Linked DNA regions of Neurospora crassa OR74A. The protein of the gene in region 5 interacts with the protein of the main gene of each other region in a pairwise test. Links are inferred from orthologs where the notes say so. Each region holds a gene or a part of one and is shown on either strand. Other genes may lie near its edges.

Region 1 (4,188 bases), about 1.4 Mb from region 5:
CAGCAGCAGAGTGATCACCGCAAGCGGCTGCTGGCGAAGGCGCACGCTCAACCCGCCAACATATGACGACAAATGCAGCCAAAAGACGGCCAAGAAGAATGAACGGAACGAGTCGAACATCTCGACAAAGAAGTACCACCACAGGCCGATATTGGGGGCCAGGTCAGACAGTGTAAGTTGCACACCATAGGTGGAACTAAGGAACTCCCATGAGCCGGTCAGGAAGAACGACATTTGGAAAAGCACTGCCAGAGCACCAAACGCATCCATAACCATGGTCGCGGTAAACTTGATCCACGCATTGGGCGCTCCGGTAGCGGGCAACTTCTGCCTGTCATAGCAAAGAAGAATGAGAGGCGGGAGGAGGAGTAGCGGATACATGGAGAGGTATGATGCGAAGGCTAGGGCGACCATGGCGTGAAAGGGTCTGCCGGAGATGGCATTGGCGACGGCGTGGAGAATGGCACAGGTCGTGAAGACGGTGGTCGAACGCCCAATGCATGTCGCGATGGTGAAGGGGTTGAACAGGAAGAGCGCGGCAATGATGGCACCACTCCAACGCTTGTCACGGCGCGGGGAGGTGAAGCGCGCAGACGAGCTGGCCTCGCCAGACTCTGCAATCCTTAAAAGAGCATGGGCGCTCAGAATATCGATAGCGATGTAGAGAAGGTACGTGAAGATGGGAAACGCCGCGAAGCTCGGGAGCAAGTTGAAGATGGGCAGCAAGAGGGGCGCCTGGTGGTAGACGCCGCCATCGTAAGGAGAGACGTTATGGTTATACAGGAAGAGGCCTTCTTGGACTAGATTTTGGTAGTTAGCAAACCTGTGTTCCTCGAGACGATGCGACGAATGCCGAAGAGAAAAACAAAAGCTACAACATACGGCGCTTGAAGCTTGTTACTGGCGTTGAGATCTCGACACGGCCAGTCAGGAGGTCTGGAAGACCGGGGAACAGAGTAAAGAGGGCAAGTCGCAGGACGGCAGCACCGGCGTATAAGCCAGCCGTCCTCCTCAACGTTACCTTGCCGCCATTCATTGTTCAATTCGCCATACGACGAGGTGGGAGCTGTGATGTCGAACTTGTCCCAGGGTCAAGTTACTTCTAACGACATGCCCGTCCAGTTGCGCTATACAGGAGTCGCGCCCAGCACGTTAGGTCGCCTTGTCAATCGCTGTCCCCGCCAAAGCAGACCGACAGCTGGCCCGGCCTCCACAGCTGGCGGGTCCCTGTGGGACAAGGGGTTCTGGAATCCAATCCAGACGGGAGCGGGAACCTATCTGGGCCAGACGGGCCCAGTATGTATTCTAGTAGCCTCATCTGTGCCTATCTGATGCCTCCCGTCTTTCCATCCGCTACGTTATCTTATCTTTGATCAGCTCAGGCGGTGGGAAGTGGCATAAAAAGTTCAGGACCGCGAGGGTCAGAAAAAAAGTTGATTGCAAGTGCACAGAGCGCCCCCACCTACAATTGGCTTCGATAACGATCGAGTCTGCAGACTGAAGAGATCCATCCTTGGTCCTCTTCTCCTTCTCTCACTCTTCCACCTACACCCAACAACCACAACCACCACCACCACACCCCAAAATGCCAAAAATCAAGAAGAAGGGCCAGGCCGGCGCGGCCAAGAACTACATCACCCGCACACAGGCTGTGAAGAAGCTGCAGCTTAGCCTTCCCGACTTCCGCAAGCTTTGCATCTGGAAGGGTATCTACCCGCGCGAGCCTCGTAACAAGAAGAAGGTTTCCAAGTCGGCCACTGCCTCGACCACCTTCTACTACACCAAGGACATTCAGTACCTCCTCCACGAGCCCCTTCTTCAAAAGTTCCGTGACCAGAAGGTGCTCGAGAAGAAGATCTCCCGTGCTCTTGGCAGAGGTGATGTTTCGGATGCCGCCCGCTTCGAGCGCCATGCTGCCCGCCCCGAGGCCACTGGCAAGCCCAGGTACACTCTCAACCACGTCATCCGTGAGCGCTACCCGACTTTCAACGACGCGCTCCGCGATCTCGATGACTGCTTGTCCATGCTCTTCCTCTTCGCCAACCTCCCTTCCACGAGCGCGGTTCCCGCCAAGATGATCGCCCGCTGCGAGCGTCTCTGCCTCGAATTCCAACACTACCTTATTGTTTCCCACAGCCTGCGCAAGTCGTTCCTGTCGATCAAGGGTATCTACTACCAGGCCAACATCCAGGGCGAGGATATTCTCTGGCTCGTTCCCTACAAGTTCAACCAGAGGATCGTCGGCGATGTCGATTTCCGCATTATGGGCACTTTCGTCGAGTTCTACATGACTCTTCTTGGATTCGTCAACTACCGACTTTACAGCTCGATCGGCCTCAAGTATCCTCCCAAGTTCGACCAGCTCAAGGACGAGAACGGTGCTGAGCTCGGCGCTTTCTCTCTGGAGGGTGTCAACATGGCCACCCAGGGCGAGACCAAGGCCGTCACAAACGGGGAGGAACAACAGCAGGGTCCTGACCCCAAGGTCCAGGCTGAGGTTGACAAGATTATCAAGCAACTGAAGGAGGACGAGTCCAAGAGCGACGAGACTGCCGAGGAAGATGCCGAGGCCGACGATGAGGAGAAGCCCACAGACTCCATCGACAAGTTCGAGCCAGTTGCCCCTGGTGGTGATGTTCTTCCTCAGCCGGCGTACAGCAGCAGTGACCCTTCGCAGCTGTTCGCCAACTTCACATTCTACCTCTCCCGTGAGACCCCCCGCCAGCCTCTCGAGTTCATTCTTCGTGCCTTTGGCTGCAAGAGGATAGGCTGGGATTCCGTCCTCGGCGAGGGTGCCTTCACAAATGACGAGTCGGATCCCTCCATCACCCATCACATCATTGACAGGCCAGTCGTACAAGCCGCTACCAACGAGGATGGCGATGGCGAGGACAATCAGACGGCCCAGAAGGTCGGACCCAACCAGAGATACCCCGGCAGGATATATGTCCAGCCCCAATGGGTATGGGACTGCGTCAACGACGAGGAACTCAAGAGCCCTGAGCTCTATGCTCCTGGCGCCGCTCTCCCTCCCCATCTTAGCCCCTTCGTCAAGGCCGCCCCTGGCCAGTACGATCCTACTCTGCCCCTTGAGGCTCAGCAAACCGAGGCCGAGGCTATTGAAGCCGACCTCGAGGATGCCGAGAAGGGTAATGCTGAGGATGGTTCCGATGTCGAAAACGACATGGATGTTGATGAGGCCGAGGACGATGAAGAAGAGGAGGAGGGTGACGAGGAGGATGCCGAGGAGGCCGAGGAGGAGGATGCTGAGGAAGATGAGGAGGAGTCCAAGACCCTCCAGCGTCAGCTTGAGCTAGAAGCCGAGCTCCAAGGCAAGAAGGTGCAGAATACAAAGGTAGACTCCAAGACCAAAGCCAAGCTAGAACAGCGCAAGGCTCTTGAAAAGAAGGCACGCGAGGAGGCGGAGGACCTGGAGCGCGCCAAGGGCATGCTGAGCAAGAAGAAGCGCAAGCTGTTTGAGCAGATGCAGTATACCAACAACAAGAAGAGCGCTCAGGACGAGAAGCTCCGCGCCAAGAGGAGAAAGCTGGAGAAGGAAAAGGCGCAGAAGGCGTAAGGTTAAAACACTGGCAAGGCGTAATTTTTTAGCACTTTATGTTTTGAAATGGGATACCAAAGGCTCATTTTTCTCTTTTCTTTTTGTGTAATCGACAAGTTTTGAATCCTACTCGTCGTCCTGAACTGATGCAAATGTGAATAATCGTGACATGAAAACGAGCGCCCACGAGGCTTTCGTCTGAGGGTTAGGGGTCGCTACGAACCAAACCGTAACGCCCAAGAGAAGTTGGAACGAACCGAAAATAGGACCAACGAAAGGTGAGAGTACAAAGTAAAAGAATTGAGTGAGGAGTCAGAGGTTCATCAGTTTCTCCATCCTTGTTGCTGTGGTACTACTACTGGGATGCTTTCGTACGTCAGTGCGGTTCTTCGACCTTCAATCTCTTGTCACTCCCGTCCTTAGTGATTGATCACCAGAATTTGCACTCAACAACCCTGCCAACGCGGGAAGAGCACCCACTAAACTGGGCCATGCAATGTCTTCACACTTGAATCAAGAAGATTCCGGCGACGAGGATTGGGATAAGGACACTGAAGAGATTAATTCCATCGCATCAGATGAACTGCACGAAACCCGCCCCAATCGGTGGAATGGGGCCCCCTCCACAT
Region 2 (3,947 bases), about 2.6 Mb from region 5:
TTTCCCAGAGACCGGCGTTGTGGATCTTCTCGGTGAAGTGTTTGTTGACGTGCTCCTCCAGCTCCTTCTCGTCCACGATGAAGTTCTTGGACGCCACGTACAGCTGGACGACGGCGTCCCGGCGCGCCTCGCTCTTCATCGCCTCCTTCTCTGCATGTTTAATACGCGCCTCCTCGGCCTTGACGAAAGCCTCTGGGTCCAGGGGTACGAATGTGTTCTTGGCCGTGCTCTCGCGAATCGTCGCGCGCGTGAACACCTCGTCCAGACGCTCCGGCGCCTGGGCCGCCCGCTTGTTCGCCAAGTAGCGCGCCTTGCTCTCCTTCGCCTGCTTCTGGTCGCGCTTCACCTTGCGCTGCCAGAGTCCCTGCAGACCGGCCTCGAGTGACTGGCGCCGGGCCTCGGCCATCTTGCGACGCCACGACTCTTGTTTCGACTTGGGCGGCAGACCAGCCAGCTCGGCGGCGGACTTGGGAGCGATACGATTGACATAGCCGGATTGGACCTTCTCCGGGACGCCCTTCTTTGGGAAAATGGAGCGGGGGATCGGGAGGTGGCCCTTGACGAAAGGGTGCCTAACCTCGGAAGACTGCGGCGGCTCGGGGACCTTGATGTAGTTGGGCGAATCGGGGGGGATGGAGACCGAGTCTCTAGCCGATCGGGTGGTGCTGAAAGATCGGGCGGCGATGGCGCGTGTTACTACGCTGGTGGCAGCGCATGTTGTGGTCGGGGAAGAAAGGATAAATTGCACGCCGCTGAGCGACGGCCTGGCAAGAGTTGGCGCCATTTTTGAGGTGGAGGGTTGGCTGAAGACGGGGTGAGCGGGATGGGGTCGGAGTTGGGAGACTTCTGGCCGGGCCGTGCTATGCGGAGGTTTCGTGCGACGGAGGGAACGGACCAGGCGGGTGCAGCGGCCTCTCGCTCTCCTAGGTAGGTAGGTTCGGCTCGGGATCGTGGGACACGCCGCGGTACGAGGGGGCTTTCAACTCCGTCGAAATTCTGAAAGCTCGGGGAGGCCAGAACGGCGCTAGAGTGCTCTTGGTGCTACTAGCTTTGCTGGTCGCGGGCGTTCTGCCGTCGTACACCGCTAAACTTTTTGTGCATGGGGACCTTTGCGCGGCCTCCACACCCCGCCCAAAAAAAAAACTGACAAAACTTTCGCCGGGACCAGTCGCAGAGTTGCATTTCCTCCTTCTCATTCCTTCCTCGCTTCCCTCTCTTCTTTTCTTCTTCCCCAGTCCATTCATCCTCTCGATTCTCACGCAACACCCTCTGCCGATATCTGATACCCCATAGCCTCGTTTCTAGCCTTTTACCCATTCTTCCCTATTTTCGTGTGCTTCTTCTTTCAAGTCAATCTCAAACCCCCCGATCTACGGATACCCCCAGCCGCTCTCGCAGGCGAGAACGAAATTCTTCCACATCTGCATCCTCTACCCACCAACCTACTCGGTAATCTGGCATTGAGTGATATCTGCCAAAATGGGAACAGGAAAGAAGGAAAAGTCTCGCATTCAGCGACAGGGCAAGGTGACGGGTGATCCAAAGGTCAAGGGCGAGAACTTCTACCGGAGCGCAAAGAAGATCAAGGCCTTGAACGTGCTGAAGGAGGGAAAGGCCATTCGCAACAAGGAGGGCAAGGTCGTCAAGGCCGCGTCGTATCAGAGCAGAGATGTTCCCACAGCCGTCATCGAGCCGAACCGGAGATGGTTCAACAACACCAGAGTCATTTCGCAAGATACGTTGACATCTTTCCGGGAGGCGATTGCCGAGAAGGACAAGGATCCTTACTGTACGTTCAACTCTTCCGTCACTTGTCCGGCCGACCAAGACTAACGCACCTTGTCTTGTAGCGGTGCTGTTGAAAAGCAACAAGCTCCCCATGAGCTTGATCAGAGATGGACCCAAGGATGCGTTGAAGAAGCACCAAGCCAAGATGACGATTGAGAGCGAGCCGTTTTCACAGACCTTTGGCCCCAAGGCCCAAAGGAAGAGGCCAAAACTCAGCTTCAACACGATCGGTGACTTGACAGAACACAGCGAGAAGAGCATGGATACATACCAGGCCAGACTCGAGGAGATCAAGCTTCTAAGTGGTGCTTCTGGATATGGCGGTGGTCTTGCCGATGACGATGTTCAAGAGGAGGATTTCAGTGTCGCGACGGCCAAGGAGGCTATCTTCACAAAGGGCCAGTCGAAGCGTATTTGGAACGAACTGTGTAAGTCCTTCTGTGTTTGGGGACTTGTGACTTCGGGTTGCTAACCATCACATAGACAAGGTCATTGATTCGTCAGATGTCATCCTGCACGTTATCGATGCCAGAGATCCTCTGGGAACCAGGTGTCGTCACGTTGAGAAATACCTTGCCACTGAGGCTCCTCACAAGCATCTTATTTTCGTGCTGAACAAGATCGATCTTGTTCCTTCCAAGACTGCTGTAAGTGTAGACCATTATTTGCTTTCACTCCTTCTGCTTGAATCTCTTGACTTGCCTCGCGCAAATCCTGAGGTTCCCAGGGATTTTGTCAGGATCTTTCCCGCATTCAGTTGCGCTTCATTGGGATTGGTCTGTTACATCGCTGGGAGATTAATATCCACCTCCCAACCTCTCTGGTCCCGTCTTGGGATTGGGGATTTGATGGACTCCGTTTTGGAGGACTTCACGGGATACCGGACGTGTTTCGTTTGAGTTGAATTCCACCCTGCCTTTGAGCAGACTCTACCATGGTGGTCTTCTTAGTTATGATTCACACATTTCTTCACATTATACATATATGTTATATTCAGTAACGAGTTGAGGACTAACTGAAAACAATAGGCCGCGTGGATTCGCGTTCTGCAGAAGGATCATCCTACATGTGCTATGAGATCTAGCATCAAGAACCCCTTCGGTCGTGGTTCTTTGATCGATCTTCTCAGACAGTTCAGTATCCTGCACAAGGACAGGAAACAGATCAGCGTCGGTCTTGTTGGCTACCCCAACGTCGGCAAGTCGAGTATCATCAATGCCCTTCGTGGGAAGCCCGTTGCTAAGGTCGCCCCTATTCCCGGAGAGACCAAGGTCTGGCAGTACGTCACCTTGATGAGGAGGATCTACCTCATCGACTGCCCTGGCATTGTTCCTCCCAACCAGAACGATACGCCACAGGATCTCCTGCTCCGTGGTGTTGTACGTGTGGAAAACGTCGATAACCCGGAGCAATACATCCCTGCGGTATTGAACAAGGTCAAACCTCACCACATGGAGAGGACATATGAGCTCAAGGGCTGGAAGGACCATATTCATTTCCTTGAGATGCTTGCTAGGAAGGGCGGCAGACTTCTCAAGGGTGGTGAGCCTGACGTTGATGGCGTTGCGAAGATGGTTCTCAATGACTTCATGCGAGGCAAGATTCCTTGGTTCACGCCTGCCCCCGAAAAGGAGGAGGGTGAGACTGATACCATGGAGGGTCGCGAAGGACGCTACGGTGAAATGTCCAAGAAGCGGAAACGTGACGAGGACGACAGCGCGCCTGCTACCACTCCCGCTTCAGCAGGAGAGGATGCCAAGGAGGAAGACCCTGAGAACTTTGCCGGGTTCGACAGTGACAGCGACTCTGAGGTCGAAGAGGCTGCTGAGGAGAAGGGTGAGGAGAAGAGCACTGCTGAAGATATGATACCCCTGGACGCGTCGAGCGATGAGGAAGAGGATGGCGAGGAGGAGGGCTCTGACGTCGAAGATGACGAGGAAGGATCCGACCTCGACATCGAAGGAGCCAGCGAACTCGAAGAGTCTGAGTCAGAAGCCGAGGCTGCGCCAGCACCTCCCCCGAAGAAGCAAAGGAGGAGCAGGAAGTAAACTCGGTCAGTGAACGCGATGGGCGGCTGGGGTGAACCGAGCATGCGTTCAATAGCCGACCTCAGGGTTGGTAACGATCCAATCGGATCATGACGGCCGGTGTCACTGATA
Region 3 (4,162 bases), on a different chromosome or scaffold from region 5:
GACATCTCCCCTTACTTGTTCCATCCATGTTTGTCCTCTGCTCCCATAGTCCAGCCCTACAAGCAAGGCTATACGTAGCTCGAGACCCCATACCTTGTTTACTAGCCAAAGTCAATCGCAAGGGGCAAGCGGGAGCTAGGCAATTCGAAGCCAAATTACCAGCCCGATCGGCTTGAGCCGTGTCTACGCCTCCTGGGGCACCACTTGGCAGCAGAAAGACGGGGAAGTGAGATACAGAGTGTATCGAGATTTAACATAAACGTGGTTTCGATTCAAGAACCAGAAGTTCTTGTCCGATTTTATTTTATGGGATGCCTTCTGGATTGTTTCCGTGATGTCTGTCCGTGGTGTTGAGCGAGTGGTGTTGAAGAATAGGGCCATGGGACCAGATTATATCATGAACATCAACTTCCGTGCTGATACCTCCCATTGGAACCATTCTCAGCCTCAGATCGTGGAAAGATGCGACCCAAGGCAGCAGTGAGCCAAAGACCGAACCACACTTGTGACTCGGTCAACTCCATGGAAAATGATCATGTTTTCATGTAATAAAGGTGTTGTTACTTCCGACGTGACCAAGATAGCATCCCGTCAGCCTTGAGAGAATATGAAGGATTCCGAAGGGGTTCATGAAACTTCACTTCAGCCAATGTAATGATGCGAGGATATTGATCTGCCATGTGTACTGTTATGTATCGACCCAGGGGCCTCTCGGCGAGTGACACTTCCAACCCAGGGACCTGGATTCGAAGCTGACTGGTACGTTCCAATCTTGCGCCCTGTATCCCGCAGACGGGGTAAGTTTCCAGCTGCCCCGAATTATCGATTATCGATCAAGGCAACCCGTAGCCTGACTATGGACTTGTGTCAAGGCCTTCGAAGTCGTCCGCTGGACGGGAACTGCAAAGTCCACCAGGCTATTGACTGGTCTGTCTCAATCCACTAAACCTTTGGAATAGAAATGTAACATAAGAAGAATACTGCAATGCCAGGATCTCAGAGGTACTGTACAGCGTTTGAATATCCGCAGTGTAAAGCAATGCCACCATGGACGACATCCAGAGCCTAATTCCGTGAGAGGGACAACGAACATGAAAGACCGACTACACGCGGTTACGTTGAGTATATCATGTCTATGACAGACTGGAGTAATTGCAGGAGAGGTGAAAGCGTTGTGATAATAAACGAATATCAGAGAAGAAAACAACATAATGCGGATTTGAAGATAAGAGGAAATGGACAAGTTCAGTTCTCGACTCTCGCAAGCAATTGGGGGCACAATTGGCGGGTTCCGGGGTTCGGCTGATCTGCAGTCAAAAGTGGGGTCAACACTGGGACGGCTGTAGCGCACAGACCAGGTTTTCATCAGGAGAAGAGGGCAGAATTGGCAAAATTTTCACCGCCTGGTGTAATCCCTGGTTATCGAACAAGCGATAAGAAAAAAATCCCCAGCGAAAGAGAAGGCAGAGGAAGGATAACAGATTCGACTCGCTGGGAATTTGAACGGAACCATTGCGACGCCCTTTTCCCAGAGTATCGCAACCACCCACCGACAGTACCAACCCCCCCACGCCATCACGATGGCTTCCGAATTTAGCAAGAAGCGCAAGCTCAAGGACGCCAAGATTGCGACCGAAGATGGCGCCGCCACCGACAAGAAGACCAAGAAGGTGAAGAAGGACAAGAAGGAGAAGAAGGCCGCCGAAGAGGTCGTCGAGGACGCCACCCCCGAGGAGGAGAACGATGCCCAAAAGGCGGAGGAACAACAAGATGGCGACGAGGTCATCCCCACCGGCAACGGGGACAAGGAGGACAGCGACGACAAGGACGCTGAGGCCGGCGACGAACTCACAAAGACCAACGACTCCCTCATCGCCCCGTCCATCGCGACCAATGCCACCGACTTCTCCGAGCTCAACCTGTCCGACAAGACCATGAAGGCCATTGCCGAAATGGGCTTCACCAAGATGACCGAGATCCAGAGGAGAGGTATCCCGCCTCTGCTCGCCGGCAAGGACGTCCTCGGTGCGGCCAAGACCGGTTCCGGCAAGACCCTCGCCTTCCTCATTCCCGCTATCGAGATGCTCAGCTCCCTGCGCTTCAAGCCGAGAAACGGTACCGGTGCCATTGTCGTCACTCCTACCCGCGAATTGGCTCTCCAGATCTTCGGCGTCGCCCGCGAGCTCATGAAGAACCACTCCCAAACATACGGTGTCGTCATCGGCGGTGCCAACCGTCGTGCTGAGGCCGAGAAGCTGGGCAAGGGCGTCAACCTGCTCATTGCTACTCCCGGTCGTCTGCTCGATCACCTGCAAAACACTCCCTTTGTGTTCAAGAACATGCGATCGCTCATCATCGACGAGGCCGACCGTATTCTCGAGATTGGTTTCGAGGACGAAATGCGCCAGATCATCAAGATCCTGCCCAAGGAGGACCGTCAGACCATGCTCTTCTCCGCCACACAAACCACCAAGGTTGAGGATCTCGCCCGTATCTCGCTCCGTCCCGGTCCTCTTTACGTCAACGTCGATGAGGAGAAGCAGTTCAGCACGGTCGAGGGTCTGGACCAAGGCTACGTTGTCGTCGACGCCGACAAGCGCTTCCTGCTCCTCTTCTCTTTCCTCAAGAAGATGCAGAAGAAGAAGGTCATTGTCTTCTTCTCGTCCTGCAACTCGGTCAAGTACTACTCCGAACTTCTCCAGTACATCGATCTTCAGGTTCTCGATCTCCACGGCAAGCAGAAGCAGCAGAAGCGCACAAACACCTTTTTCGAATTCTGCAACGCCAAGCAGGGCACCCTCATCTGCACGGACGTTGCCGCCCGTGGTCTCGACATCCCCGCCGTTGATTGGATCGTCCAGTTCGATCCTCCTGATGACCCGCGCGACTACATTCACCGCGTCGGTCGTACCGCCCGTGGTAACAACACCAAGGGCCGTTCGCTGCTCTTCCTCCAGCCCAACGAGTTGGGTTTCCTCGCCCATCTCAAGGCCGCCAAGGTCCCCGTTGTGGAATACGACTTCCCCAAGAGCAAGATCCTCAACGTTCAGTCCCAGCTGGAGAAGCTGATCGGCCAGAACTACTACCTTAACCAGAGCGCCAAGGACGGTTACAGGTCGTATCTCCACGCCTATGCTTCGCACAGTTTGCGGTCGGTGTTTGATATCCATAAGCTTGACTTGGTTAAGGTGGCCAAGGTATGTTTTCTCTTCTCTCCCTTTTTCTTCCCCAACACCAGAACAGTCACTAACGTACTACAAAAACAGTCCTTCGGCTTCTCCACCCCTCCCAGGGTAGACATCACCCTGGCCTCCAGCATGTCGCGTGACAAGAAGCAGACGAGCAGGAGAGCGTATGGTAGCCAGCCGAAGCAGAACCGTCACTAAGCGAGGCGGGATTCGGTGTTCGTGTTGTTGTTGTTGTTGGTTAGAATACGAAAAGGGGATGATGATTTGTCAATGTTCTCTCTTAGATATCCATCGGGCATTCGGTGTGGAGCATAGTGGGTGTTTTCTTTTGTGTTGCTACTTTGCTGTTTACTTGTTGTTGTTTGCGCAAGCTGCCAAGGCGTTTTTGGTTGAAAAGTAAAACTGGAGGGCTTCAAATCAACAATTAATTTTTACTTTACGTTGCTGCTCCGTTGGTGTGGTATTTCTGATGCTGTGCCGTTCGGTCATCTCGGGTGTCTTTCCATGTGAGGATGGAACATATTATCATGCTGACAGTTTCATTTGATAAATGGTAAGAAAGACCTTGAACAAACCACATCATATCTATTTTGCTACGCAATTGGAAAGATCGTGATGTTGATATGGCTGATGGAAAGCATGGAGGTCCTGAGTGTCACTCTCTATCAAGGATCCTTTGTAGGGATTCATAATCAATACCCAAATTAGGTAGCTGACAACCGGTACCAACTCAACACTAACCTCCAACAACAAAGCATGAAACAACCCACTGATGACAGTCTACTATTTCAGAACGACCTACATCGATACCTATTCTATCTGCAGCCCCAATCGACCCCCCGAACCTGAACTACATAACAGACGGAAACTCCCCGACACAAACCAACCTAACAACTTTACCAAATTTCACCTCGTCCCCAATATCCTCCCCTTCCCCTTTCCCAATATCCTCTCCTTTCCCTTCCCATCACTTC
Region 4 (4,127 bases), on a different chromosome or scaffold from region 5:
TGAACTTGTCCGCATCCTTGGGCGCCTTCTCCATCTTGTGCTTGTACCGCGGTTGGCCAGGTTGGGCTCCGAAGTTGCGGATGAGCTGCGACTTCTCCGTCTCGCCAATCGTGGGCAACTTGCCGAGACGGTTATCCTTGCGCCACCGGTCGAAGCGGCCGCTCTTGAACGAGGCGGCAATCTTGACACCGGACTCGCCACGAATCATCTTGGCGCCCTTGGAGCCGTCCTCATCGTTGGCGACCGCCACGTACTTGCTGTGACGCTTGTCCCAACGCATCTTGGATTTCGTGGGCAGACCGAAGTTCTTGGCACTCTCGTCGTTGGTCAGGTCCATGGTAGCGTCGCGAGCGGCCTCGACGAAGCTGTTGCCGCTGTAGCCGCCCGAGTGAACACCGTAAGCCTTCTCCTCCGCAAGGCTAGTGGTGCGAGGCGTGTAGGACATGAAGATCTCGGGGTCTTGGAAGTTGACCGGGCCACCCTTCTTCTTCGTATGCATGCTGCTGGATACTGTAACCTCCATCTCCGAATCCGAGTCGTCGGCGTATGGGTCTTCCTTGGCTTCCGCCTCTTCTGCCTCTTCCGCCTCTCCCTCCTCTTCCTCATCCTCAAAGTCTTCGAACGCATTGGTCTCCTCGCCGTCAGGTTTACCCTCGGCATCTTCCATGTCCACGTCCTCATCATCCTCGTCGTTGGTAGTCTTGCGCTCCTTGAATCTGGAACGCATGTTTCGTACAACTTCCGCGGCCTTATTGCGGCTAGACTTGCCCTTAGGGCCAAGTTCAAAGATGGTTTCCTGGGGCTTGAAGCGGTTTATCCTGCTGAGAAGATCATCGCGAGCTGCCTGGGCTTCAGCGGCTTCTTCTCCAAACAAAGGATGGAGCTGTGTCCAGCCCCTGGACTGCGTAACTTCGCGGGCTCTCTTTGCGCTCTGGCTCGACGCAGAATTCCTCGTCTTCATGTAGAGCTTCTCGGCCTTTGCGGCAACACCCTTCAGCGCCTTGAGATCGGCACTCTCCTTGAGCGCCTTCTCAACCCACTCAATGTTAACATCCACTCCATCTCTCTTTAGTGTTCCAACTACGACGTCTGCCGCGAAGGAAGGGTTCTTCTGATCGTGGCCGATAATAAGTTTCCTTCCCAGGAAGAGCTGTAGATCAAGTAGATATGGTACGTCTGACTGACGGACCAAACCATAGGCCCAACCACGCTGACCCGCACGAGCTGTACGACCAACACGATGGACAAAGATCTTGGGCTGAGATGGGAAATCGTAGTTGATGACGTTGGCGAGAGCAGGCATATCAATACCACGGGCGGCGACATCGGTAACCACGAGAATATGTGTTCTTCCCCGACGGAAGTTGTCAACTTGGATCAAACGGGCCGTCTGGTCAAGCGAACCGTAAACGTAGGACACGGCAAAGCCTGCGAGTTTCAACAGGTTCGCAATGTACTCGACGTGATGTTTCGTTGCTGTGAAGATGATGGTCGAGTATTCCGTCGGCTTCTCCTTAGGATTGGGCCTGTACTCGCGTTTCCTTTTCCTCGCCTGCAATTCGTCACTCTCTTCCTTTGTGCCCTCGGGCGGACCCAGCGGGACCTTGATGACGTCGTGGAGAAGATGGAGAAGGGCACCCTCCTTCTCACCTCCCTTTACTGCGAAGAAAGCACTCTCGAGGTCGGGTGACACCTTGGTTTCGGCATCCAACCTGACAAGGCTTGGCTCTTGAAGACCGGCTCTGGCGAATTCGACCAAGGACGATGGGAGCGTCGCAGAGAAAAGAAGCGTCTGTCTGGAAGGAGGGAGGGCGTGAAGAATTTCGGTCAACTCAGTAGCGAAACCCATTTCGAAGAGGCGATCAGCTTCATCGAAGACAACGTATTTGATGGAGGCCAAAGAGAGGTTCATTTCAACCTTGAGATGGAGGAAACGACCGGGTGTGGCGATGATAATATCGGGATTCGACGCCATCATACCAAACTGTTCTTCTAGGCTGTCACCACCGACGAGCAATACGGTCTTTAGATCGGTACCTCTGCCGAGTTCCTTGACGACCTTGAGGGTCTGCAACGCAAGTTCACGCGAGGGAGACATGATGAGCGCCCTCGAGCCAACACGTGGACTGTGCCCCTTCAACCTCTCAATCATGGGGATAACGAAAGCTGCAGTCTTTCCGGAACCGGTTCTGGCCATGCCGACCACATCTTTTCTTTCTAAAATCAGGGGGATCGCTTTGCGCTGAATGGGGGTCGGGACGGAGAAGCCTTTTCTGGTAATCGCTCGGAGGAGATGGGCGTTTAGACCTAGGAGAGTATCAGCAGCTGCCCCAAGCATCATCAACTTATGCCATGGGACGGAAGACTACGCACCCATTGCCTGGAAACCTCCACCCTTCTTGACTGATTTGCCCTGAATGTTGGAGGACTTTCTCTGCGAGCTCCGTGTGAGCGAAGCGATAAAGGCTTCGTCATCATCGCCCTCGCCATTAAAGCTAGGTAGTCCATCATCGCCGTTACCGAGAAGATCGTTGAAATCGAGGTCAAGCCCGCTGTTCGTAACAGCTCCCTTCTTGGTGTGGTGCTTGCTGCTGTTGTCTTCGAAGTCGCTGTCGTTGTTGAACAAAGCACCCGCGATGTCAACCTCGTTCTCGGACGGTGTGGGGGACGCTGCGCGTCTAGGCATGGTGAGCGAGGGTTGTGTTGCTGCCAATTGCAGCACGAATCGCTAATTGAAGATGCAAAGACGGACGGGGTGGGTTGGAGTTTAGGTTGGTGATGATGATGGGGTCTTGGGGTCTCTTGTCTACTGTAGCCATCAATGCCTGCCCGTCACCCGTAAATTTTGGATGGTCGACTTTTTAGTGGGGCCAATGTGACATTTATCCATTATCAGCTTATCAAGTACACCCATTGCATGCCCGTGGGTTTGCCTTGGCAGCGCTGGCGTGCGTTAGCTGTGCTTTCCGCGCTCCTGGAGGTGTCGCAAGTCGCAACTACTGAACTTCCCTAAACTTCCCCGGAGTTGCGTTCCGTTTGGTAGACCGAACTTACTTATCCATCAACCCTTTGTAATTGATCAAACAAGCATCCAGATTGACCCTCCATTCCGGCGACAATATGGCGACAGACACTAAGGACGTGAAGGACGTTAAAGACGTCAAAGACGAAACTCCTGCCGACACTCGGGATGCGCTTGAAGTGCTGGAATCTGAAGCCAAGGAGTGGGAGAAGGCAAGCCAGACAACAACCACGCCCAACTATACCAACATTTACATCCCCAACTCAGTAGTTGCTGACAATCTAAATTCCGACAGGATGCCGAGATCGACCGTATCTTGAAAGCCTTCCGGCTCGACGCCTACTCAGTCCTCGGCCTCAAGCCCGGCGTGACCGAATCCGACATCAAGATTGCTTACCGCAAAAAGTCCCTGCTGATCCATCCCGACAAGACCAAAAACCCCTTGGCGCCTGAGGCGTTCGATAGACTGAAGAAGGCGCAAACGGAGCTAATGGAGGAGAAGCACCGCAAGAACCTAGACGAAGCTATCGCGGACGCGCGCATGCTGCTGATCCGCGAGAACAAATGGACGGTCGACAGCCCTGAGCTCAAGACGGCCGAGTTTGAAAAGAAGTGGCAGGAAAAGACCAAGTTTGTGCTGATCGAGAACGAGCAGCGACGACGCAGACAGCTCAAGGCGCAGATGCAGGAGGAAGGCCGCGAGCAGCGGAAAGCTGACGAGGAGGCTGAGCAGCGCAAGCGCAAGAGGCAGCACGAAGAGGACTGGGAAAAGACGAGAGACCAGCGCATCGATAGTTGGCGCGCGTTTCAAAAGGGCAAGTCTGGGGATTCGGATAAGAAAAAGAAAAAGAAGTTGAAGCCTATTGGCTGAGCAAGAAGAACCTGCAATGCTCTTTCATATGAGCATGCGCAGCAATATTCAACTACGGCAATTGCAAGATGTGTTCATCAACGATGCAGTAGCGGAGCTTACAACGAATCGAAGGAAGCCATTTTTCTTGGGTTTAGAGGAATGGGGGTGTTTACACGCAAAGCTTTGGGTCGCGACTTGGTCGCTGTTTTATGGGACAAGGTGCTTATACATATACACATCAGAGAATCATGT
Region 5 (4,181 bases):
AGCAAGTTTCCGTGTCCCTGCATTTGTTAATTTAGATACATTAGTGCGGTTGGGCAGTCATGGTTGCTGACTAGAGGGTAGAGGTAGATGAATATATGGATCGAAACGGGGAGCGGGACGAAACATACGGCACTCGTCACAGGCACGGCGTTTCACCGGCTCTTTCTCCTTAGTGACTTCGCTGTTTGAGATCATGGCTGTTTTCCGCAACCGGCCTTTCCTTTATTTTGCTTTTTTTTTCTCCCCTTCTTTTCCGCGGGCGTAGATGTGTGGTGGATAAAAAGGGTTGAGTGGTAAGGTAAACGTCTAAGGCTCTCCGCAAGCCCCGCTTAGAAGACACAGAAATCGCCCCGGTGGTACTCCAAGACACTATCTATGTAGACGCTAGTGTGGTGTACACAGTAGATGGGCAAACAGCATGGATATGTACGTTGTAACAAGGGACCTAGGATGATAGGATCGACTCGTTTTCAGAGGAGGGCAAAGAAAGCAGATTTCAGACAAGATGCTCCAGGCCCGCAATGTTAACGAGCCAACGCAAGCAATCAAAGATCACCTGGTCGCGCCAGACCTGATGCCATATTAATAAGCCGCAATTGACACAGATAATGCAGAGACTGACTTTTGTTGCCGCGTTGCCTCAAATGGCACTGGTAGTGTATCAGTCAAACACCCAGGCCTTTGGACATATATGTGGCTCACTGGCCAAAGGCATGAATGATGTCCTTTTGCTAGTTATGGGATGACTATAGCGTGGGTTTTATGGCAGTAGTGTAGTGTGAAGGTGTCGAGTAACCCTAGCCCATCAAGGTTCCCTAGCAGGCGTCGTGCTACACTACATATTGTCAACTGCCATGCTTGGAAAGCGCAAAAAGACGGCGATGGTGACAAAAACCGTAGTGTAAGAGGCAATGGGGTAAAATTCGAACAAAAGTCTGTAATTACAAGCGATCCATGGAGACTCAATCTGATCACGCCGGGTATTTGATTGATGCTGGTTTGCCAGTTTTGACTGCCAATACCCACAGAACGGGCAGGACGAACTACAGAAGTGGAATCGTGCGTGGTTGAAGCCAGGTGTAGGGGTGCAGAGGGATGCTGCATCGAGGTTGGAGTTCGGTATTCATCTCATCCATGATATACAAGTAACAAATAAGGCTAAAAATTTGAAGTCGGTATCAGAGGGACGGAGACACGGAGTGCATGCTCCTGGCTTCATTTGTCTTTTGACACGCTAAACCGATAGGGTAATATGTTATGGTTCTTTAGCTGCCAGAAATGCCAAGGGCGGTGAGACCAACTCGTCCCCGCCATGAGCTGTAGAACCGGCAGAAAAAAAAGTCCCAGGCCAATTCGTATGCTAGGAATTTTCGACGCCTATCGCTGCGACGCTATCTGGGTGTTTTACCAGCAGAAAACACGCCAAAAATCAACACACATTCACAATGGGGCCAAAAGCCACCGAGAAGAAGCGAAAGGTCCAGGACGCCGAGCCTGAGTCCGACGACGAGATTGCACCCGATTTTGACGGCGCCCTGTCGCAGAGCGAAGACGAGTTCGATTCTGACTTCGACGACAATGAGCACGAACAGGACGGCGAGCAGGAAAGCGGAAGTGAGGCCAGCGACGACGAAGATGAGGAGGGCTCCCTACTAAGCGACGACATTCCCTCCGATGCTGAGGGCGACAAGGCAATGGGCAAACTTGTTCTCGAGGACGAAGAAGAGGAACTCGAGATTGAGATACCCGGAGTCGACCCCAAGCGGCCGGAGAAGGATGATGGAGACAAGAACTATCGGATCGAAAAGGACGCGAACGGCAACGAGCGCTACGTCTACGAGTATGTTGTTGTTCTGCAAATGGATCAAATATCGTTCCATGCCAGCATAGTTAACTCGAGAATGCAACAGTGAGATCGACCCCGTCTACGATTCGGACGATTCCGATGCCCAAGAAGCGCCAAACACCATCGGCAACATCCCCATGAGCTTCTACGACAGCTATCCCCATATCGGCTATGATATCAACGGCAAGAAGATTATGCGCCCGGCCACTGGCGACGCTCTTGATGCTCTCCTCGACAGCATCGAAGTGCCCAAGGGCTGGACTGGCCTTACGGATATTCACACCGGCAACCCTCTCAACCTCAAGTATGCACCCAACCCATCCTCCTTTGTCTTGCTCGGTTTCTTCGGGTCACGCTTACTGACTGCCATACCGTAGTGATGATGAATTGGAGCTTGTTCGCCGTGTCCAGATGGGTATGATTCCCAACGAGCTGGAAAACCCCTACCCTGAAACCGTGGAATACTTTACTGGTATTGAGGAGAAAATGCGTAAGTCAAAATCTATCTACACTTATCGTTGTTGAAATGGTGCAACTAACAAGTCAATAGCCCTGAGCGCTGCCCCTGAGCCCAAGCGTCGCTTCCTCCCCTCCAAGAACGAGGCCAAGAAGATTATGAAGCTTGTTCGCGCCATTAGGGAAGGCAGGATCCTGCCCTACAAGCCCCCTGAGGAGCGCGAGAAGGAGGAGGAAGAGGAGGAGCAGTACTTTGATATCTGGCAGGATGAGGTGCCACAAGAAGTCAACCCCTTGCACATCCCGGCACCCAAGCTGCCTCCTCCTGGTTTCGACATGAGTTACAACCCGCCCGCAGAATACCTACCGACCAAGGAGGAGAGAGAGGAGTGGGAGAAGCTCGACCCCGAGGAGCGCGAGAAGGAGTATCTCCCTCAGAAATACGACTCTTTGCGGAAAGTTCCCGGTTATGGCGAGATCGTCAAGGAGAGATTCGAGAGGTGCATGGACCTTTACCTTGCTCCTCGTGTGCGGAAGAACAGGCTCAACATCGATCCCAACTCGCTCCTGCCCAAGCTTCCTTCGCCTTCTGAGCTCAAGCCTTTCCCTACAGTTGCCCAAACAGTTTTCCGCGGCCATGACGGCCGTGTAAGAAGCGTTGCCATCGACCCTACTGGTGTTGCTGTCGCTAGCGGTGGCGACGACGGTACGGTACGTGTGTGGGAGCTGTTGACGGGTCGCCAAGTCTGGTCCGTCAAGCTCAGCAGTGAGGAGGCTGTCAACACCGTTAGGTGGAGGCCCGCGAAGGACTCTTTCATTCTCTCCGCTGCTGTGGGTGAGGATGTCTACCTCATGGTTCCTACACACGCCAGCGTTACTCCTGCTTTGGACCAGGCTAGCAGAGATATCCTGTCGGCTGGCTTCGGTTATGCTACAAACGGTCAGCAACACGGCGCTGCTCCCGGCAAGGAGCCTCCTGCCAAGTGGGCCCGCCCCGGTGCTAAGCTCGAGGATGAGGGTGTCTTGATCAGGATCACAGTCAGGTCGACCGTGAAGGTCATCAACTGGCACAGGAAAGGAGACCATTTTGCGACAGTATCGCCTTCCGGACAGAGGAGCTCCGTAGCCATCCATACGCTCTCCAAGCACCTCACCCAGATTCCCTTCCGCAAGCTTTCTGGCTTGGCTCAGACAGCGTCTTTCCATCCCCTCCGTCCTCTCTTCTTCGTCGCCACTCAACGAACAATTCGCTGCTACGACTTGCAGAAGCTCGAGCTGGTCAAGGTTGTCCAGCCTGGCGCGAAGTGGTACGTATCCCCATGGCTAGCCGGATAATGTGACTGGAATTGATTTGCTAACTCTGTTGACTTGTAGGATTTCTTCGTTCGATATCCACCCCGGCGGTGACAACTTGATTGTTGGCAGTTACGACAAGCGTCTCTTGTGGCACGATCTGGATCTTTCCATTCGTCCGTACAAGACGATGAGGTTCCACAGCGAGGCGGTTCGTCAGGTCAAGTACCACAGGGGCGGCCTGCCGCTCTTCGCTGATGCCAGTGACGACGGCACTCTCCAAATCTTCCACGGCAAGGTCCCGAACGATCAGCTGGAGAACCCCACCATTGTGCCTGTCAAGGTGCTCAAGGGACACAAGGTCGTCAACAAGCTTGGTGTCCTGGATATGGACTGGCACCCGCGTGAGCCGTGGTGTGTGTCTGCCGGTGCTGACGGCACCATCCGTCTCTGGATGTAAAAGAACAGCGTTTAATGGGACGAGACAAAAGATGAACAAAACACAAGGAAGGAAAACGGAAGCGAGAGGACAGGTTAATCAGTCTGCTTGTCTTGATTGGCGTGCTCGGATGTGCTATTATTATGA
Region 6 (4,270 bases), on a different chromosome or scaffold from region 5:
CTTGGGGTGACGGAAAATTTGAGCATCACCGGACGAGAACTCGAAGCTGCCCGCGCAAAGACTGTCCAGCCAATTCCTACGTCATACGGGCCGAACCCTGTCACTCCCACGCTAACGCCGCGGGCAAGCTCCAGGGGAGAACTTAATGAACGCGCTGCTGCCGACTCGATTTCCCTTGACAGCCGGCTTGGAGTACCCCCAATGCCCTCATTGCCCCAGTTATCTGCGGCCTCCGCAGCACCTCTCGGTGGCTATTACCCCGATTACCACAACTACGAACAGTACACCACCCCTCCTCCAACCGAAGCTCCAACTTCAACACCACATCTTCCTCTTCCTTCAGTTCCTACTACGCTCCCACGACCAAACCCAACAACCTCACAAACCCAACGGCCACAGCCCCCATTAATCGTCTCATATGGACCCAACCGAGTAACGCCCACTCCAGCTGTGACTTCGCCTACAGTGCCTCCCGACGAGTCTATGATTGAAAGACCACCTAGAGGAGTTGAATTACAAGGCGAACCCGCATCTCTGATGGAAAGGAGACATCCATGGGAGGACATTGATCTCCCGAGCGCCAGTAATAACGGTCCTTTACCACCATACGCATCGACAGAGGAGTACGCTGCAATGGAAAGCGGCGCGATCCGTAAGCTGGAGGAGCCAAGGGCGCATGCTGAGCTGCCACCAACCAAAGATGGCTACTATCATGCTACGTGGGATATTGTTGAGCACGAATTGCCAGGTGACGGATATCAACGAGACCCTCTCTACCCGCAAGCATCCGCGTCCGGACGTGGAAGGGATATCGATGAGCAGAAATTCTTGCTGGATGATGTTGAAATGGCGCATTTGAAGGCGCAGAAAGAACGAATCCGCGCTGAAATGAAGAAGAAGCAGAAGCAGAAGGAGACTTACCAGCAGGACCAGGGGCATGACCAGGACTTCCTTGGAGCGTCGGCGAGCTTCTCCACACGGTAGCACGAGTGATAATGTGGCGGTCCATGTGAAGAAAGTTACGTTGTGGGCAACTGATGTTTTGGAGGCGAAGGTTTGAGGATTAGCATTATACCATTGGCAAGGTGTCTGGCGTTCATTTTGGGTATCGACGGGGTAGATGACTCCTGTGTAGTATCATCATATAATACGGGCTGATACATCTGCGTTGAGAATAGCTGGACCATATGCCCCGCACAAGTATAAATATAGTCCTACTGTAGTAAGGACAAGGTCCTCTGGCTCTATAACATGAACGCGTATTCAATTTCTTGGGACAATGTGGTGTTGAACGAGTTGCTCCCGAAGACGGCAGGTACTCACTTGATAGTTGAGATGGTACGTACCCATCCCCGCAGCTGTCGACCAGCTGCCACTGATAAGATCCCCAGATCCTCCAATCACATTGACCGCCCGGCAGAAAAAGTTACAGACGGGCATGGTTCCCAAATTTTTGTTTTCCCTTTCGTTCTGCGGCGGAGGAAGAGACGAAAAAAGACCCCACTGACTGCTATCAGTTGTACAATCTTGACGATTCCACCAATTCCCACTCAGCATCGGGAGCTTCCCGTCGTTCTCTTTTCCAACACAACACTACAGAACAAACAACGGTCACAGACCGTTGCAACACCATCCACCACAATGGCGCCCTCCCAAAAGCGCAAAGCGATCGACGACGATTTCATCCTCACCATTTCCGACAATGAAGAAGACATCCCACTAGAAGAGGAGCAAGAAGTTGTACCCAGGAAGAAGGCCAAGACGGCCACACAACAATCGAACAAGCAAAAGAAGAAGAACAACAAGAAGTCCAAGAAACAGCAACAGACTGAAGATGACGACGACGAAGCCGAAACAAAAGAAGACGACGCCGCCGACCTCGGCATCTGGGGCGACAACGACGAAGACGACGGCGCCATGGATACCGAGTTCCAGTTCGTTGTCGACGGCCAGAACGAAGTGGACGCCGAGTTCGACGGCTGGGGTTTCGAGGGCGCGCACAAGGGTGTTGTGAAGGGCGCCAACGCGGGCGGGGACAAGAAGGCTGTGGATATCGATGAGATTATCAGAAGGAGGAGAGAGAGGAAGGCTGCTAAGGAGGGGAAAACCACGGCGACAAAAGAGGAGGAGGATAAGATGGAGGTTGATGAGGAAGAAGACGACATAGAAGAGATTGATGTGGATTTGGATGATGATGAGGATGGTGTCTTGGCTGACGATGCTTTTGGTATGGGTGTTGGGTCGGACGTGGAAGAGGAGGAGGAGAAGCAGGATGCGAAGATGGGGGGTGTTGATGGGGAGGATGAGGATAGTGAGGGTGAAGATGGGGAGAAGAAGGGAGAGGATGAAGACGAGGGCGATGCGTCGGATGATGACTCGGTTGCTACGGCCGTTGAGCATCCTGATGATGTGCAGTCATCGGATGATGAAGAGGGTATTGATGAGGAGGAGGAGGCCAAGATGAAGGAGTTCTTTGCGCCGGAGGAGGAGAATCAGCCTAAGAAGAAGGGCGAGATGTCTTCGTTCCAGGAGATGTCTCTCTCCCGTCCTATCCTTCGCGGTCTTACTTCCGTGGGCTTCACCAAGCCGACGCCCATTCAGGCCAAGACCATCCCCATTTCGCTTATGGGTAAGGATGTCGTCGGTGGTGCCGTCACCGGTTCCGGTAAGACGGCCGCCTTCGTCGTTCCCATCCTTGAGCGTCTCCTCTACCGTCCCAAGAAGGTTCCCACCACCCGCGTCGTTATTCTTACGCCCACCCGTGAGTTGGCTATCCAGTGTCACGCTGTCGCTGTCAAGCTCGCCAGCCATACCGACATCAAGTTCTGTCTGGCTGTCGGTGGTCTCAGTCTGAAGGTGCAAGAGGCCGAGCTCCGTCTTCGCCCGGATGTGGTCATTGCCACTCCTGGTCGTTTCATCGATCACATGCGCAACTCTGCCAGCTTCGCCGTCGACACCATCGAGATTCTCGTCCTCGATGAAGCCGATCGCATGCTCGAGGACGGTTTCGCGGACGAGTTGAACGAGATTCTTACCACCCTTCCCAAGTCCCGCCAGACCATGCTGTTCTCTGCCACCATGACGTCGTCTGTCGACAGGCTCATTCGCGCCGGTCTCAACAAGCCTGTGCGCATCATGGCCGATTCGCAGAAGAAGACTGCCGGTACGCTTGTTCAAGAGTTTGTCCGTCTCAGACCCGGTCGCGAATCGAAGAGGGAAGGATATCTGTTGCACATCTGCAAGACTATCTACACGGAGCGTGTCATTATCTTCTTCAGACAAAAGAAGATTGCGCACAAGATGAGGATCATCTTTGGTCTGTTTGGATTGTCGTGCGCCGAGTTGCACGGTAGCATGAACCAGGCTCAGGTATGTTTACGATTTACGATGCTCCAGATGGATGAGTGATACTAACAGGATCCATAGCGTATTCAAAGTGTCGAGGACTTCAGAGATGGAAAGGTCAACTTCCTCCTTGCCACCGATCTCGCCTCACGTGGTCTTGATATCAAGGGTGTCGACACCGTCATCAACTACGAGGCTCCCCAGACCCCCGAGATCTACGTCCATCGTGTCGGTCGTACAGCGCGTGCGGGCCGCAGCGGTACCGCTATTACCCTGGCTGCTGAGCCCGATCGCAAGGTCGTCAAGGCTGCCGTCAAGGCCGGCAAGTCTCAGGGCGCCAAGATCAGCAGTCGCATCATCGATCCCGCGGACGCCGACAAGTGGCAGGCCGAGATCGACGAGTTGGAAGATGAGATTGAGGAGATTATGCAGGAAGAGAAGGAGGAAAAGCAGCTGCAGAACATGGAGATGCAGGTCAAGAAGGGCGAGAACATGATCAAGTACGAGGACGAGATCAGCTCGAGGCCCAAGCGCACGTGGTTCGAGACGCAGGAGGACAAGAAGAAGGCCAAGGCGGCGGGCCGGGCCGAGCTCAACGGCGTCAGGGACAAGCTCAAGTCCAAGAACGAGGGCAAGTTGAGCAACAAGGACAGGAAGAAGCTCGACACCATGCAAGAGCGCAAGCAGGAGAGGACATACAAGAAGGGCAGCGCCGAGAGAGCCGGTAAGGGCGCGGTGCTGAACCTCAAGAAGGTCGTCAAGAAGGTGGGACGGTCTGCTGGGCCTAAGAAGAAGGGCGGCAATGCTGGTAAGGGTGGTAAGGGCAAGGGCAGGAGAAAGTAAATGTGAGGAGCACGATTCTGTTGTTGTTGTTGAGTTTCTAAATGTAATTGAGCTTCAAGCTAAGTCTAGTGTGCTTTTGATA
Region 7 (4,270 bases), on a different chromosome or scaffold from region 5:
TATGAAGTGAAAGCCGTCAAAACTCCGTCCTAGTGGGTATCATATGGTATTTCAGAACGGCAACATTCCCGAAATCAACATATTTCGGCGCGTCCCCAAACTTGTGGAATCAGATTAGACCTTCTGTGTGGGATCCCAAAGTCGGTGGAAAGATTGATTGGATGCGCAATCAGAACCTGACAATCCCTATCCTTCTTCTTCTTCTTTTCTTTCTTCATCTTCTTCTTCTTGTAGAGTGTCAGCCACAGGTTTGATGTTGTGGCTATGGTCAGAGGGTACTGGGCGAACAAACCTGTGATATACATGTTACTAGTTTATCAGAGAATCCAACTCCAGCGTTTAGTCGGTAGCCTTGTACTTGGCGCGGTATTCCTCCGTCTTCTCGACGTCCTCAGGGGAGGCAAGACCCCTCATGCCCTCAATGATGTCGTCCAGAGTAAGGATGGCAAAGATGGGAATGCCGTACTCCTTGCGGAGCTCGCCCATAGCACTGGGGCCGGGCTTGCTATCGTCACCATCAGCGGCAGGGAGCTTCTCCATGCGATCAAGAGCAACGACGATGCCAGCGACAATGCCGCCCTCCTTCTCGATCTTGGCGATAGCCTCACGCTTAGCAGTGCCAGCAGTGATGACATCGTCAACGATGAGGATCCTCTTGCCCTTCAGAGGGGCGCCAACAATGTTGCCTCCCTCGCCATGGTCCTTGGCCTCCTTGCGGTCGAAAGAGTAGCAGATCTTGCCGTAGGTCTCGGGGTCAAGCTGGGCAAGCTTGTCGGTGGCAGCAGTAGCGAGGGGAATGCCCTTGTAGGCGGGGCCGAAAACAATGTCAAAGTCCAATTGGCCGCTCTTGTGAGCCTCGATAATGCACTTGGCGTAGGCAGTGGAGATGGCCTGGAGAAGGTCGGCACGGTAGAAGTCGCCGGCGTTGAAGAAGTAGGGGGAAATGCGCTTGGACTTGAGCTCGAAGCTGCCGAACTTGAGGACGCCGCCGTCGATGGAGGCCTTGAGGAAGTCAGCCTTGTAAGGCGAGAGAGCGGCCATTGTGCTGGTACGTAGTGTTTGTAGGATTGGAATTGAAGCTGAAAGAAGAAGAAGAGATTTCAGAAGAACAGCGTTGACGTCTGTCTGCCTGGCAACTGAATAGCTGGAGGAACCTGGGGAAAATTGAGAAAATGGAGGGAGGGGCCGAAGGAAGGGTTCAGTTCCTGGCGGCGTCACACGCGGCAGTCTTTCAACCGAGTCAATCAGATGGTGGGTTACGAGTGGGCCACCTAGTTCCAGGAGCCAGGCCCGCGAAAGCCCGGTCATCGGCCACTTGGGCGCGGTGGGGTCCCTGAAAAAATGTGGGGTTAGAAAATCCTAAATTCCACACTAGCCGAATCCTTAAGCACCCCTTGGCAGCATGTCTTGGCAGCGCACACTACCTCTAGGTTCAATCCACTTTGGCACTCTGCTGTTATCTTATCGATTGGAGCAGCCGCTGGAAAAATATTTCGAAGTAGACTTTCCATTTGGCAGCGCAGCGCCTCCCCGTCGCCCTCCAACACCGCCCCCTCCCCCCGCAGCCGGTCTCTATCCTTCAGACCGTCCGTCCGACCTCATTGTCCTGCACTTCCAGTCCGAGATCTTCTCACCAGCAAGTGCTTGACATCTATACCCGAAATGACGTGGAAGGACATTGCCCCTGTGCCTACGTAAGGACATCTTGGTTGTTGTGTTGTTGTTTGGCATCGCTAACTCGCTTCTACAGGGCACAGGAATTCATCGACATCATCCTCTCGTAAGTCGACATCGGCAGCCCCCAACCACGACGATGCGAAGTCTTCGAGTTCGAGTCCAATGGCTTGGCCACGGTGGTGAAGGATATTAACTGTTCAACAGGAGGACACAGCGTCGCTTGCCGACTCAGAGTATGTTGTACAATGTGGAAAATTACGTGAAGCATGGCATGATCGCTAACCTTTACTTTGAATAGTTCGTGCTGGTTTCAAGAGTATGTCGTCTCGATATCCGATACTTTGTATGAGAATTCGAATAGATCATTGACACGCGACACCGAACAGTCAGCAGAATTAGAGCCTTCTACACCCGTAAGGTCAAGTTCACACAGGAAACATGCAGCGAAAAGTTCGGCGCCATCGTCTCGAGCTTCCCCATCCTCGCCGACCAGCATCCTTTCCACCGCGATTTGATGAACATTCTCTACGGTACGAATCCCGCGCTTCCCTGCGACAGGCGGTTTCAGCAACAGCGGGTTGTGAACCGCGCCTGGTCTTGTTGGGAATAGTGGCTGACAAGGTGATGGATAGATGCCGACCACTTCAAGGTTGCCCTTGGTCAGGTCTCGACCGCCAAGCACTTGATCGAGACCATCTCTCGTGATTACGTCCGTCTCCTCAAGTACTCGCAAAGTTTGTACCAGTGCAAGCAGTTGAAGAGAGCCGCCCTCGGTCGTATGGCCACCCTCATCAAGCGTCTGAAAGACCCTCTCGCCTACCTCGACCAGGTCCGCCAGCATTTGGCCAGATTGCCCGATATCAACCCTACCACCCGTACCCTCCTCGTTGCCGGCTTCCCCAACGTCGGCAAGTCTTCGTTCGTGCGCTCCGTCACCCGCGCTGATACCCCTGTCGAGCCCTATGCTTTCACCACCAAGAGCTTGTTCGTCGGCCACCTCGACTACAAGTACCTCCGTTACCAGGTCATCGATACCCCTGGTATTCTCGACCACCCTCTCGAAGAGATGAACACCATCGAAATGCAGTCAGTTACTGCCCTTGCCCATCTCAGAGCCGCCGTCATGTTCTTCATCGATATCTCGGAGCAGTGCGGTTACTCGCTCAAGGCCCAGTGCAACTTGTTTAGGTCCATCAAGCCCCTTTTCGAGAACAAGATGGTCTACGTTGTCCTGAACAAGATGGATATCAAGACCGTTGAGGACCTCGACCCCGAATCCCAGGCCGATCTCATGGACCTTACCAAGTCCGGCAACATTCAGCTTTTGCGCGCCTCTTGCGCTACTCAGGACGGTGTCCAGGAAGTCAAGAACACCGTTTGCGAGGCTCTCCTCGTTGAGCGTGTCAACCAGAAGTACAAGGCCGGTACCAGCAGCAACGGCACCATGGGCTCCCGTCTCACCGAGGTCATGTCCCGTATTCACGTCGCCCAGCCCGCCGATGGTGTTCTCCGCGAGACCTTCATTCCCGAGGCCGTCAAGGGTCTCAAGAAGTACGACAAGGCCGACCCCGAGAGGAAACTTCTCGCCAGGGATATCGAGGAGCAGAACGGTGGTGCTGGTGTCTTCAACGTCGATCTCAGGGAGAACTGGATCTTGGCCAACCCCGAGTGGAAGTACGACAAGATTCCCGAGGTCAGTATCTCTCGCATTCCGTCTCCCCCAAATTAAACCCGGTTACTAACATGTCACGCTTTGACGAACAGATTGTCGACGGCAAGAACGTCTACGACTTCATCGACCCCGATATCGAGGCCAAGCTGGCCGCTCTCGAAGAGGAAGAGGAGCGTCTCGAGAAGGAGGGCTTCTACAAGTCGGACTCGGACCTCGGCGACGAGTCGGAGGAGGAGATCCTGCAAAAGGCCGAGTACATCCGCGAGAAGCACAAGCTGATCCGCAACGAGGCCAAGATGAAGAAGTCGCTCAAGAACCGCGCCATAATCCCCCGGAAAATGCAGAAGAAGTCGTTCGCCCAGCTCGAGGACCACATCGACCAGCTCGGCGTCGACACCGAGGAGATCAACCTGCGCGGCCGTGCCCAGGTGCGCGAGCCCACTCGCGGCCGCTCGCTGGCCCGCAGCCGCAACGCCACCGAGGACCCCGACGCCATGGAGGTGGACACGCCCAAGAGCGCCGCCGAGCGTCTTCGCTCTCAGAGCCGTCCGGCCCAGCGTGGCCAGGGCGCGACAAACAGGCGCGACGACGGTGTTACTGGTGGTGTGGGCATGGACGGGGAGACAGCCCGCTCCAAGGCCGAGAGGGTGGCCAAGCTCGGCCAGCGCAAGATGAACAGGATGGCCAGAGCCGGCGAGGCCGACAGGCATATTGGTGCTACCATGCCCAAGCATTTGGTACGTCTTTTTTCTTTTCTTTTCCCCTTCCTTCAATCCCCCTTTTCTCTTTTCTCTTTTCATTCCTAAACTAACCACACATGTTTTCTATAGTTCTCCGGCAAGCGTACCGTCGGCAAGACACAGCGTCGTTAATTTGGATCGATGATCCATATATGTTTGGGTTGGGTTGGGTTGGGTGTGT

The links.
Region 1: the proteins of NCU03321 (region 5) and NCU00925 interact in binary tests that used the Saccharomyces cerevisiae proteins (3 or more experiments, as listed by UniProt). The link is inferred for Neurospora crassa OR74A from reciprocal best matches to the Saccharomyces cerevisiae genes ERB1 and NOP7.
Region 2: the proteins of NCU03321 (region 5) and NCU02546 interact in binary tests that used the Saccharomyces cerevisiae proteins (3 or more experiments, as listed by UniProt). The link is inferred for Neurospora crassa OR74A from reciprocal best matches to the Saccharomyces cerevisiae genes ERB1 and NOG2.
Region 3: the proteins of NCU03321 (region 5) and NCU09349 interact in binary tests that used the Saccharomyces cerevisiae proteins (3 or more experiments, as listed by UniProt). The link is inferred for Neurospora crassa OR74A from reciprocal best matches to the Saccharomyces cerevisiae genes ERB1 and HAS1.
Region 4: the proteins of NCU03321 (region 5) and NCU07712 interact in binary tests that used the Saccharomyces cerevisiae proteins (3 or more experiments, as listed by UniProt). The link is inferred for Neurospora crassa OR74A from reciprocal best matches to the Saccharomyces cerevisiae genes ERB1 and DBP10.
Region 6: the proteins of NCU03321 (region 5) and NCU11175 interact in binary tests that used the Saccharomyces cerevisiae proteins (3 or more experiments, as listed by UniProt). The link is inferred for Neurospora crassa OR74A from reciprocal best matches to the Saccharomyces cerevisiae genes ERB1 and DRS1.
Region 7: the proteins of NCU03321 (region 5) and NCU05289 interact in binary tests that used the Saccharomyces cerevisiae proteins (3 or more experiments, as listed by UniProt). The link is inferred for Neurospora crassa OR74A from reciprocal best matches to the Saccharomyces cerevisiae genes ERB1 and NOG1.

What each region holds. Positions count from the first base shown.
Region 1 is NC_026501.1:6,705,681-6,709,868, reverse strand, and holds NCU00925 (pescadillo), read left to right. Parts: upstream 1-1,457; 5' UTR 1,458-1,585; coding exon 1,586-3,577; 3' UTR 3,578-3,688; downstream 3,689-4,188. Other genes in the region: gpit-2 (glycosylphosphatidylinositol transamidase 2), read right to left, coding at 1-800, 883-1,036; NCU00926 (hypothetical protein), read left to right, coding at 4,056-4,188. UniProt on the Saccharomyces cerevisiae protein: Component of the NOP7 complex, which is required for maturation of the 25S and 5.8S ribosomal RNAs and formation of the 60S ribosome.
Region 2 is NC_026501.1:2,685,339-2,689,285, forward strand, and holds the start of NCU02546 (nucleolar GTP-binding protein 2), read left to right. Parts: upstream 1-1,147; 5' UTR 1,148-1,479; coding exon 1,480-1,789; intron 1,790-1,850; coding exon 1,851-2,216; intron 2,217-2,271; coding exon 2,272-2,435; intron 2,436-2,816; coding exon 2,817-3,836; 3' UTR 3,837-3,947. Other genes in the region: NCU02545 (hypothetical protein), read right to left, coding at 1-784. UniProt on the Saccharomyces cerevisiae protein: GTPase that associates with pre-60S ribosomal subunits in the nucleolus and is required for their nuclear export and maturation.
Region 3 is NC_026502.1:4,196,447-4,200,608, forward strand, and holds NCU09349 (ATP-dependent RNA helicase has-1), read left to right. Parts: upstream 1-1,437; 5' UTR 1,438-1,580; coding exon 1,581-3,197; intron 3,198-3,266; coding exon 3,267-3,386; 3' UTR 3,387-3,662; downstream 3,663-4,162. UniProt on the Saccharomyces cerevisiae protein: ATP-dependent RNA helicase involved in 40S ribosomal subunit biogenesis. Required for the processing and cleavage of 35S pre-rRNA at sites A0, A1, and A2, leading to mature 18S rRNA.
Region 4 is NC_026504.1:2,109,868-2,113,994, reverse strand, and holds the start of NCU07712 (ATP-dependent RNA helicase dbp-10), read right to left. Parts: upstream 2,801-4,127; 5' UTR 2,687-2,800; coding exon 2,374-2,686; intron 2,308-2,373; coding exon 1-2,307. Other genes in the region: NCU07713 (DnaJ domain-containing protein), read left to right, coding at 3,121-3,234, 3,318-3,893. UniProt on the Saccharomyces cerevisiae protein: ATP-binding RNA helicase involved in the biogenesis of 60S ribosomal subunits and is required for the normal formation of 25S and 5.8S rRNAs.
Region 5 is NC_026501.1:5,301,410-5,305,590, forward strand, and holds the start of NCU03321 (eukaryotic ribosome biogenesis protein 1), read left to right. Parts: upstream 1-1,381; 5' UTR 1,382-1,445; coding exon 1,446-1,840; intron 1,841-1,910; coding exon 1,911-2,150; intron 2,151-2,223; coding exon 2,224-2,336; intron 2,337-2,396; coding exon 2,397-3,609; intron 3,610-3,676; coding exon 3,677-4,055; 3' UTR 4,056-4,181. Other genes in the region: ada-4 (all development altered-4), read right to left, coding at 1-17, 129-195.
Region 6 is NC_026503.1:3,109,903-3,114,172, forward strand, and holds the start of NCU11175 (ATP-dependent RNA helicase drs-1), read left to right. Parts: upstream 1-1,470; 5' UTR 1,471-1,641; coding exon 1,642-3,369; intron 3,370-3,426; coding exon 3,427-4,188; 3' UTR 4,189-4,270. Other genes in the region: NCU00234 (hypothetical protein), read left to right, coding at 1-984. UniProt on the Saccharomyces cerevisiae protein: ATP-binding RNA helicase involved in ribosome assembly.
Region 7 is NC_026504.1:5,445,385-5,449,654, forward strand, and holds the start of NCU05289 (nucleolar GTP-binding protein 1), read left to right. Parts: upstream 1-1,470; 5' UTR 1,471-1,662; coding exon 1,663-1,694; intron 1,695-1,750; coding exon 1,751-1,780; intron 1,781-1,881; coding exon 1,882-1,910; intron 1,911-1,975; coding exon 1,976-1,993; intron 1,994-2,063; coding exon 2,064-2,207; intron 2,208-2,309; coding exon 2,310-3,370; intron 3,371-3,441; coding exon 3,442-4,086; intron 4,087-4,179; coding exon 4,180-4,221; 3' UTR 4,222-4,270. Other genes in the region: NCU05291 (polyamine acetyltransferase), read left to right, coding at 1-33; NCU05290 (orotate phosphoribosyltransferase), read right to left, coding at 340-1,041. UniProt on the Saccharomyces cerevisiae protein: Involved in the biogenesis of the 60S ribosomal subunit.